Linked DNA regions of Tribolium castaneum. The protein of the gene in region 2 binds, or shares a complex with, the protein of the main gene of each other region. Links are inferred from orthologs where the notes say so. Each region holds a gene or a part of one and is shown on either strand. Other genes may lie near its edges. The genes, in order: Polr2B, TfIIFalpha and Tfb5.

Region 1 (3,600 bases), on a different chromosome or scaffold from region 2:
CACCAAAACAAATACTTGATATGTGTTTCTGGGACTCTGGTTGTGATCCGGGAAGGGTATAATACTGGCACAAACACCCAAAATCATAGCTGGATGGATCTCACAATGTGTGTAAGTGGTACAATACGCGTATTCCTTCTCCTGTCTCAAATCGTCCGGAGACATCGCAATCATCACAGTCTCCTCTTCCAAAGTATCGATATATTCGACAACCCCTGAAGCCACCAAAACCTGCCACCCGTAGTTATTATATTCCCTCTCTTTCAACATATCAATGTGGCGCTTCTTCAACAATAAAGTCCCATTTTCCACGATTAGTAACGGCCGACAAATCCGTCCAGCATCCGTGTAAATGCGAATCTCCCGGTCCCGAATATCCCGAATCATGGAAACCTCCGACACAATAATATCCATCTGTCTCCTCAACTTGCGTAACGTCGCCATCAACTGTTCGGGGTCCCTGTGAATTCCCACCCAGCAACCATTAACAAAAATCTTGGTCGCGTTGGCTATGGCAGACGGCGCAATCTCCTCCAAATTCTCCATCGACCACTCCTCCAAAAACTCCAAAATTGGAGAGGGTTGCGACCCCACCGAAATATACGCCATGAGGGCCAGATTTTTCACCAGACCAACAGCCGCCCCTTCTGGTGTCTCCGCCGGACAAATCATCCCCCAGAGCGTGTTGTGCAACTGTCGGGGCTTCGCCAACTTCCCGTCACGTCCAATGGGCGAATTAACACGTCTCAAGTGCGACAAAGTCGAGGCAAAAGTCAAACGGTTCAACACCTGCGAGACACCGGCTCTGGCCTGGTGGGCCTTCTTCTGGTCCCCCCAGTTACCAGTCGCCAGAGAATACCTCAACCCGTCCGTAATCAACTTAGTCTTAATGGCCAAGTCGAGGTTAAAGTCTTTGCCCCGATCAATAAATTTCTGGGCATACATCCGTACTTCCTTCATCAAGTTTTTAAACAACCCACGGAACAAAAACGCAAGCAGGGGCCCCGCCAAGTCCAGTCGTTTGTTACCGTAGTGATCCCGATCGTCCAGCTCGCGGCGCCCCAAAGCCGCCAGGAGCAACCGGTGCACCATGTACCCCAAAAAGTAGGCTTTTTTCGTCTCGCAAAAATCGGACACTCCAACGTGGGGCAGCATCTCCTTCTGGAGGATCTCTCGCGCGTATTTGATACGCTTTTCTTTGGTGACGCCCGGCCGGGCCCCCCTGGTCCCAATGAAGTTGAGTGCGATGTTCTGTTCCTGGATCACGAACGCTTCGTCCAGGGACGGTTTCACCATTTCCATCATCTCGGGGTCTTCGAAGTCGTAAATAATGTGCTCGAGGATGTCCCGATCGGCCACGAACCCCAAGGCCCGGAACACGATCATGATGGGGATCTCCTGCTTGATGTAGGGCAAGATCGCGATGATTCGTTGCCCGATGGCGGCCTTTTTGATCGCCTGGCCCCCACGTGCCATCATGTTGACCCAGAGGGTGGACGTGGGGCGCGAGCTGTGCTCGAGACAGGAGCGGATTTCGGATTTGAAGGCGTATTTCCCGTCTTTCATCGAGAAGACGTAGACGGTGTTCGTGGCCATTTTCTCCTGGGCGATTAGGACTTTCTCTGAGCCGTTGATGATGAAGTAGCCGCCGGGGTCAAGGGGGCACTCGTTGAGTTCGGTCAAGTCGCGGTCGGTTAGACCGTTGAGGAGACAGTACGTGGATCGGAGCATAATCGGGATTTTCCCGATGAAGGTTTTCTGGTGCTGGGTCTCAATGGGGTCCTCGCCGTCCTTGACTATGGTCTTGGTGATATCGACGTACAAGGGGGCCGAGTAGGTCAGGTTGCGCAAGCGGGCCTCGTTGGGCATCATGGGCGAGGGGGCGCCGTCTTTCTCCCAATGGGTCGGTTTGGATAGGTAGATCTGCTCGAATTTCAGTAAATACCGAGAGGGGTTTTCAAGCTCGCCGCTTGTGTGCTGTGCCTCGGCTTGGAGGTCGATTTGGGGCGAGTCTTCGACGATTCGTTGCACCGACATTTGGATAAACTCGTCGAAACTGTCCAGTTGTTGCCGGACGAGGCCTTTTTCGTCGAAATAGGCGTTGATGACGATCCAGCAGGCCTCTTGCCACAACTCGGAGCTGATTTCTTCAGACTCTTCATCGTCGAATTGGTCTGAAAAGCCGGTTTTTGTTACAAATGGCTCGGGGGCTACTCAAGGGGGATTGCGTACCTTCGTCTTGTTCATACATTGCTGATTATTTGCAAAAAATGGGGCACAAATGAGACGCACAAAACACAAGTTTTGAGCGTCTGTCAAGTGTCAGTTGACTTTGTATGGGGACCCCAAGAAAACCCTTATTTTGTGAAATAAATTAATATTTTATGTTCGGGGGGTAGCCCCAAACACAATACTTTGGAAAACAAATAAAAAACTTGTTAAATACGGCCCAATTTTTTATTTTCCTGCAATGACCTTGAAGTGTTACGTAACCATACAACAAAAAAGTCTCCAGATTTTCAAGATACGATGTTAAATTACACTATTCGACCAAAAAAATATTTAATAATTATCTGTAATGTGACTTAAAGGTCAGGTAAGTGGTAACAAGTCCAATTTTTTAATTATATTGCGTTTTTGATTTTTTGTGGATTGCACCACGTGACTTCATTATTGGCGCTAAATTTCAAACTCCATGGTAATATATTACTTTTTTATTAGGAACAGTCATATCATTACAATAAATAGCTTAAAACTATCACTACAATCAGACTGTGAGCAAATTTGGCTGGGTTGCTTCCTGAGCGTGCAAAGAAAAATCCGGTCCGTTTTTTACCTGCAAAATACACTCATTTTTTGTCGCCTAATCCATAAACTTACTCTTCTCGTTGGGGTCTTGTACTCCACACTGCTTGTACGCAATTTTCACCTTACGTTTCGTATTAATAAACCCTGGAATGTACAATGTGGGGGTGTCTAAACGCCCACTTGCCAGCAATCGGCTGAAATCCTGCTCTAATCGGTTAGCTAGCGGTCCTTTAAAATGCAGCAAAAGCTGGACGCAAGCGTCGCTGTGCAAAGACTTGGTTTTGCGCGAATCTACGGTCAAAAACCAGTCGGGGATTCCCAGAATTTCGCGCACTTCTTCGATAAACTGCGACAGGACAAAACGTGGGGGCTTTTCGATGTTTGCGTACTTGATTATGTCATAGTCGGGCTCGATATTGGCACAGGCGTAACGTTCGGGACGTCTGTTGGGGCTCATGATGACGATGGAGCGCCCGATTGCCGTGACGTCGCCTTCGAGCGGGAAATTCGCATCGGTGAAGACTTTGCGCTGGAGCCCGATGTCGATGGTCCCCAAACGGGCCGACAGGTCCCCCACGTGGCACCTGAGCGGGTTCTCAGGCCCGCACTCTTGCCGATAAAGATCACCCTGAAACCAGAACATTATATTATAAAATTAAAAAAAAAGCAAAATATACATTGAGGGGGTCGGCCAGTTGGGTGAAATAGGGGTTCCAGATGTAGCCCCCGGCCACACACCGCGTGTTCTGGGTCTTGACGGCCGCGTCCACGCCCACTGGGTTCACGTAAATG
Region 2 (3,834 bases):
TTAATTCAGTGGAAATTAAAATTAAAAACTAATTAAAAATATTTTAATCATTTTCTCTGAGAAATACGCTTGAATAACTGTGATTCTTTCTAAATTCTCGAAAACTGATTCCGTTTTGCGGTTAAAATATCTTTGAATTTCGAAAAAGATCTTTCTACATCACAACTGGTTACAGGAGTAAATAAAAAGTTTGGTGCTAATGCAAAATATGTCGAAGGTGGTACATTATTCGCTATTTGTTTTAAAACTAGAAAATCGGGATTTCTAGTAACAACTGCGTCAATTTTTGCATTAAATTTATCTTGTAATGACCATTCTACAGATTTTAACTCTATCAACGTAGACTCAAATTTCTCAACTGTAATGGATAATTTAAAATTTTACGTTTCTAGAAATTTGATCGTAGTTGGAATATTTCAAAAATTATTTTCAATAAAATTAAGTTGAGAAACTAAATTTGTGGTTAAAACTAAAGTTTTACATTATTTAATGCTTTGTGCATCGTCGTTTAAAGCAATAAACAAATGATTTTAATTGATTAAAATTTTTAGAAATTTGCTTCTAACCAAGTACCACAGCGTGTAACTACAATTGTTGATTCGTCAGAAACGTTACGATTTGTATATTTTTTTAAAAAGGACTTTAAAGAAGGATTATTTAGTTATCTACAAAATGTGCTCGAGGTGAAATCGCAGCGTATTTCCCTTTGAAACGTGGTGTGGTTGAAAACATTTCAAGGGCTAAAAATGGTAAATAATTAAAAAAATATTAATGTCACACCAAAGAATACTTTGAAATGAATTACAATTTTACAATTTAGTTTTACTGGGTCACTTATATGCTTTTTAAATAAGTACATGAGATAAAAATGTTCTTTTGACTTTTTAGATATTATTAAAATTAACTGAGAGTTAGGGCGGTTAAAAGTAAAGGTATAATATTAATAGATAAGTGACATTAATTATTTTTTAATTATTTACGAATTACGATTTTTAGCTCTCGAAATGTTGTCAAAGGCGATGAACACGCTTCAGAGGGAAATACGCTTCGGTTTCACCTCAGGCGCATTTTGCAGTAATTTTAAATTGCAATAACTTGGTGAGTCTTACAGATAACGAAATGATTCTTGCACCAAAAATTGATTTCAAGTATTAGCTTTATTTCGTCTCGATTATGTGGGAGTCTATCTTTTAAATTAAAAAACTTTCTCGCATCTCGAAAATTTCACTACACAATTATGCAACGTTACAAGAAAATGTATTTTTTTTTTGGTTTCCCTTTATCAAAACTCTACCTTGTTAAACTACGTATAAATCTGCATTTATTGAAAATTTGTTTGCAAAAAAACGGAGTTTCTAGCTTTATCCAGAAGGAAGATGTGAGTATGTAAACGCAAAATGTGTCCAAGTTTAGGTGTTTGCAAATTTTTAGCTAAAACGTCTTTTCAGCCCCTTCGCGAGGGTTGAAACAAAAAATTCTTTGTCTAAACATTTTTTAATACTCTTTCCTAACTTATATCAACAATGTAAGCTGTTCCACAACATTTCGATTTAAAGGTTTATCTGACTGCAAGCGCGCGCCCATGCACTAACCTTCGCCCATAAAATTTCCTCACACTGGTTATTACAGCTAAACTAATGATTAAAAAAAACGTTAATAACATTATTAAATTCTCTGTAAAAAATGTTTAAAAATCAATAAATCATAAATACTTGTTGGGCAATATATTTTTCACAGTTTCAATTGAAAATCCAAAATTTTTTCATAGCCTACTATAAAGAAAAAGCGGAATGTTATATTTTTTTAAATATTTAAAAATAATGTGTTACACAAATAGATATATCAAATCAGAGAAAAATAGTATTTTCAAAAATATCACAGCCGCCTATGATTCCTATTTAAAAAAATAAAACTTTATGTTATTGCAGCTAAACTAAAAGTTAAAATAAACTGCTGATAACATTAAATTCTCTGTAAAAAAGTGTCAGTATAATATCTTTGTTTCAAATGTGTATCTTTTATAATAACGAAGATATGAATTTTTTTAAGATTTTGCTAAAATGACAACTTTTGTGTATTAGTTTTTTGTTTGTTTCATTTGAAAACTAATTAGGTTAAACGTAGATAAATAAATTAAAAAAATAATAAAAACAATACTAATTTTCGGACAATGGGTTTATCGAAGGCGACCATGAATTTGACGTATCTTTGACATTTGTTAATCTTGACATGACATGACATCTTGACGTTTGTTAATAAATTTTAGATACTTTTTATTATGCAATTTGTTGGGCTGTTATCAGTGATCATTTAAGTGCGTTATGTTATGTATTACTTTGGTTGTTCTTCTTCGACGCTTTTGTACTCTTTCAAATTATTCTCCCTTTCCATTTTGACCTGCGTCCACTTGGCAAAATCCACTTCAAGATTTCCATTAAATCTCATTACATGGTATCGCTTCTGGACGTTTTTCGGTACTTTGATTGTATACTCCTTAACACCGGCTGGGGCCTGTGATTGCTTCTGCTTGAACAGAATAAAATTAATTTGTGAAAACTTAAAACTGTTATTTTATACGTACAGAGGCGGCTGAACTTGTCGCCATTTTAACCAAATTACAATTAATTGCAAAATTTATTAGTTAAATTAAACTCAAATTAAAAAATAGACCTATTTAGAAAACAGCTGTCAAACAAGTTCGTTTAGAGGTTAGGTCACCATGTCGGTAACACAGGTGCCATACTTAGGGCAGATACTTTCTAACGTGACAAAAACCGTGGAGTCAGTTGTATTTTTTTTATTGTTTTCTAATTTTTATTAACAAACAGAAACATTTATTACAATATAAAATTCCATAAAAACCGGGAAGCTTTTAATTTAAAAAAAAATGTACAACTAACTTTAATTCCAAAAAAAATCGACAGAAATTCTAGTAATTTCAAAAAATCAACCAAAAACTTCGAAATATCAATAATTTGTATAAACTCCAAATTAATTCCTGTAATTTTCATAATTCCCTAGTGGGTAATTCCTGAAATTACAAATAGTCCTAAGGAATTCAAATAATCTCGAATAATTCCAAAAAACTCCAGTCATTCACAAATTATTCCAAAAGTCCGCAAATAATTCCAGCAATTTCATAAATTCCAAAAATAATTTTAATAATACAAAATACTTCCAAAAACTTTAAAGCAATTCGGATGAAATTGATAATCCGATATTGCTCTATTATTTTATAAAAAATATCCACAGGAAATACATGATGAAATGTAGGTATGACTAAGATCGTAAACATTTTAAGGTTTTGTGTAAAATAATAATCCCAAAACTCAAACTGATTAGATATTTTCTATATTTAATAATTTTTGTCAATTTCCTTTTTATTACTTCACTAAATAAGTAGGTATTAGCTGTTTCAAAACTGTAAAAACACCAACGTCGCATTTTACCGAATAATTTTTTTTAATAAGGTTGATAAAATTGTAAAATAATAATTAATCATCGAAATAATTGTTAATCATCGAAAATATAAATTACATTAGCTATTATTTTTTTGAAGTGCATGAAAATTTTATTAGAGCTACACTTATTACTCTTATTAACATCTCATAGATCTATCTCTTACAGTTTTTGAAATAATCGCAAAAAAACAGAATTCTAACTCAATAGTTTCATTTTTAGTCGAAAAAACTTCCAAACATACAATAAAATTGTGCCATTGATTAAAAGAAAAGTTAGATTTGTTCACCATTTTTACTCAAGAAGTTCAAAATTCGATGGCAGACTGACTGCGTTACTTGTGGCACTTTTTTTATTCTTTCATATCATTTAATT
Region 3 (3,364 bases), on a different chromosome or scaffold from region 2:
GTGGCGTAGTTGAAATCGGTAACTCCGGGGTATTTGTACGCTATGGTGGAGCCCAACAGTGTGGGCATGAGACTGGCACTGAGGGACCACGGACGCAAGGCTAGCACGTAACTTGATAGCTTCATGAGGCCCGATTTTTGGCCGTTTTGGCGCTTGGGAGTGGTGGAGCCATTGGTGAGGAGTTTCTCGCTGGGGGTGGGCACCGTCATGATGGGGGTAAATGCACTGACACGGAACTTAACACACTTGATGATTTGTGGCCGAGAAACGCGTTTTTTCGTTTTATAACTTTGACAAACGGAACATAACCAAAGAAGTCAATTGTGACGTTTGACATGTGGCTGTGGTTACGTCACGGCGGCTATTAAATCAGGGAAAAATTATAATTAGTGACACGTTTCCGTTATCTATTGCTTAATTCTATTCTTATCATTTGTGTGTAAAAATGTTCGTGATGGCGTAACAACTGTAGAATAGTCGGTTATCAAAGAAGCGTAATTGTAGCCACTTCCAATTTACAGGGAACTGTATTATTTGTACCGACAATTTGAAAAAACAGTTAATTAGTGCCTTATTGCGTAAGTATGGACGAAAACCGGCCCGCAACGATATTATTTATAGCAAAACACGTCATTATATAAATGCTGCGCTTTTTATTTATAATTCGAATGACCACACATCAATATGACATAACCTCACTTTTGCAAATTACAAAAAATTAATTGCTTTTTTCGGCGACTGGGAAGCTAATTTGGTCCATCAGATCGTCGATTTTTGCCTGTAATGTCTCTAAAATATCGGCTGAAATAAATAAGTGGTTTTCATCCAAGTCCTGAATTATGAATTTTCGGCCTAGTTTTGTAGTCTCATCTAAATACAAAAGGAATTGTTTCATGGCCTGGTCACTGAAACAACGCATTTTTTAGGGGAAAATGTTCAAGAAAAAAGGTCTAAGTTTTGAGGAGAAAAAGGCTAGGATGTTGCAATTGTTTCACGAGACTGGGGATTTTTATCAAATGAATGAATTGGAAATAATTGCGCCAAAGGAGAAAGGAATTACGGCGAATTCTGTGAAAGAAGTGGTCCAAGCTTTGGTGGATGATGGTTCTGTTGATAAGGATAAGATCGGGAGTTCCGTCTACTTTTGGGCTTTTCCCAGGTAAATATTATACAGGGTGTCCGTTTTTTTGAGAAGTTGTGCATTTGTATGCAAAACAATTTCTGAAAGAAAATTTTATGTGCCATTTTTAGTTTTTGAATTATTGAGAGAAATTTAAAAAAATGATTTTCGTTTTTATTTTTTTCCCATAAAAAAAACGAAGTTAAGTGTTGTAACTCTGACATCAAGCAAGCCTAGGAAAATCCGATGACAAATTTAGATTCCTTGTAAAAAGTGCCCGAAAAAGTCCTACGTCTAGTTCTTTTGGTTTTCACTTGAAAAAATAAAAACGAAAATTACAATTTTTTTTTTCAAATAATTGTTCAGCATAAAAATGCGCAACTTTGCCCTAATTTAACCGACCTCGTATCTCTTATAATAACGGAGATCACTGAGATAACTGGGAGAGTGTCCGAAAAACGGTATAGACGGGCCAAAAACACGTTTTATCCTAATTACAGCAAATTACTTAACGCGAAAAAACGCAAACTTAACGAGCTTCAAACGAAATTAGAATCGTCAACAAAAAAATTGAAATTAATTGACGAAACTATGGAAAAAGCGCAGGTGGGGAAAGAGAATTGGGACGACAGCCAGATTTTGAAGGAAATTGAAAAACTGGAAAAACAGAAAGAAAAATTCGAATCTCTGTCGAAATCTCACACAGATACTCAAAATTTGAAATTAATGCAAAGTGAGATAAAACCGGTAAAAGAAGCAGCAAATCGATGGACTGATAATATCTTCGCGGTCAAATCATGGTGCAAAAGGAAGTTTATGATGGAAGATAAGGTTTTAAATAAGCAGTTTGGGATTCCCGGAGATTTGGATTATCTGGCATGATTGAGGTTATGTCAAACAAAAACTCAAAAAAATTGTTAGGGCCTTACCAGGTCACCAAAACGCCTTTCATTACATTAACCATTGTTGATAATCGAGAATTGTGTACTTTTTTAAATCAGAAATAAATTATTTTTCTTACAAAAGTTGGTGTTTTTATGACATTTGACAACTTATAGAATGCAACTAACCTCTCACACGTGTATTGCTGATTGCATAATCACAAATTTCCCCAAAATTATATTTTTTTTCAAGTATTTCTTTGAAAAAAGTGGATAAATTGATAACAGGGATTGCTATATAGCCCCATTTTGGAACCCTCCTGTGTACCACTTGACTGAATGATGTTGCACTTTTATTACATAATACCTAAATAAATTCAGGTACAAAAGTCGCACTCGTTATCGAAAGCGGATTATTTTTAAACCATCGGCACGATGATTTTCACTTCTGAGCCCTAATCTCGCCATAAACGATAAAATGATTAAAAAGTACACAAACGTAGCGGTGGGAGTCGATCATAGGTTACAAACTTGGACTTTCACCTAGTTATTGTATCGTTAATAAACCAAACAAAATCCGCATTACACACCACTTTTTACTCGTAACCGAACGCGAAAAAATGGCCCTAAACCTGTTCATCAAGCGAAGCCTTTCAACTTCAAGCCCCATGAACGCAGTTATAAAAAACGTAACTGTGATCGGGGGCGGCCTCATGGGCTCAGGCATCGCCCAAGTAAGTGTACCCCAAACCACCCGAACCTAACCTAACATTCGCCCCCTTGCTTAGGTGGCCGCGCAAACCGGCCACAACGTGACCATCGTGGAAGTCAACCCCGACTTGATCAAAAAAGCCGAAGACAGCATTGCGAAAAACTTGGTACGAGTCGCCAAAAAACTCCACAAGGATGACCCGCAAGCCGCTAATAAATTCGTGAGCGAATCGCAGGCCCGGATTAAGGGGTGCACCGACATTGCCGAAGCTGTGAAAGACAGCGATTTGGTCGTGGAGGCGATTGTTGAAAACATGGATGTTAAGCACAAATTGTTCAAAAATTTGGATGAGGTCGCGCCCCCCAAAACCATGTTTGCGTCAAATACGAGCTCGCTCTCGATTACCGAAATTGCCTCCGTTACGAAGAGGAAGGATAGGTTCGGGGGGCTGCATTTTTTCAATCCCGTGCCCGTTATGAAGCTTTTGGAGGTTGTTAGGACTCCGGAGACGTCGCAGGAGACGTACGAGGCCTTTATGGCGTGGGGCAAAGCCGTGGGCAAGACCTGCGTCACCTGCAAGGACACCCCCGGGTTTATTGTTAACAGGCTTCTGGTGCCCTATATAGCAGAAGCCATCAGGATGATGGAGAG

The links.
Region 1: TfIIFalpha (region 2) and Polr2B share a complex: the UniProt entries of both Homo sapiens proteins name them as parts of the TBP-based Pol II pre-initiation complex. The link is inferred for Tribolium castaneum from reciprocal best matches to the Homo sapiens genes GTF2F1 and POLR2B.
Region 3: TfIIFalpha (region 2) and Tfb5 share a complex: the UniProt entries of both Homo sapiens proteins name them as parts of the TBP-based Pol II pre-initiation complex. The link is inferred for Tribolium castaneum from reciprocal best matches to the Homo sapiens genes GTF2F1 and GTF2H5.

The regions. Positions count from the first base shown.
Region 1 is NC_087395.1:24,235,265-24,238,864, forward strand, and holds the start of Polr2B (DNA-directed RNA polymerase II subunit RPB2), read right to left. Parts: upstream 2,391-3,600; 5' UTR 2,252-2,390; coding exon 2,233-2,251; intron 2,175-2,232; coding exon 16-2,174; intron 1-15. Other genes in the region: uncharacterized protein Rsod, read right to left, coding at 2,736-2,836, 2,881-3,436, 3,486-3,600. UniProt on the Homo sapiens protein: Catalytic core component of RNA polymerase II (Pol II), a DNA-dependent RNA polymerase which synthesizes mRNA precursors and many functional non-coding RNAs using the four ribonucleoside triphosphates as substrates.
Region 2 is NC_087400.1:9,147,490-9,151,323, reverse strand, and holds the start of TfIIFalpha (general transcription factor IIF subunit 1), read right to left. Parts: upstream 2,736-3,834; 5' UTR 2,606-2,735; coding exon 2,582-2,605; intron 2,527-2,581; coding exon 2,336-2,526; intron 1-2,335. UniProt on the Homo sapiens protein: TFIIF is a general transcription initiation factor that binds to RNA polymerase II and helps to recruit it to the initiation complex in collaboration with TFIIB. It promotes transcription elongation.
Region 3 is NC_087399.1:6,497,739-6,501,102, forward strand, and holds Tfb5 (general transcription factor IIH subunit 5), read right to left. Parts: upstream 2,192-3,364; 5' UTR 2,085-2,191; coding exon 2,050-2,084; exon of another isoform or gene 2,003-2,049; coding exon of another isoform or gene 1,621-2,002; intron 1,160-1,620; coding exon of another isoform or gene 933-1,159; exon of another isoform or gene 927-932; intron 906-926; coding exon 719-905; 3' UTR 634-718; downstream 1-633. Other genes in the region: heix (ubiA prenyltransferase domain-containing protein 1 homolog), read right to left, coding at 1-209; meiotic nuclear division protein 1 homolog, read left to right, coding at 933-1,159, 1,621-2,002; hydroxyacyl-coenzyme A dehydrogenase, mitochondrial, read left to right, coding at 2,622-2,735, 2,790-3,364. UniProt on the Homo sapiens protein: Component of the general transcription and DNA repair factor IIH (TFIIH) core complex, which is involved in general and transcription-coupled nucleotide excision repair (NER) of damaged DNA and, when complexed to CAK, in RNA transcription by RNA polymerase II.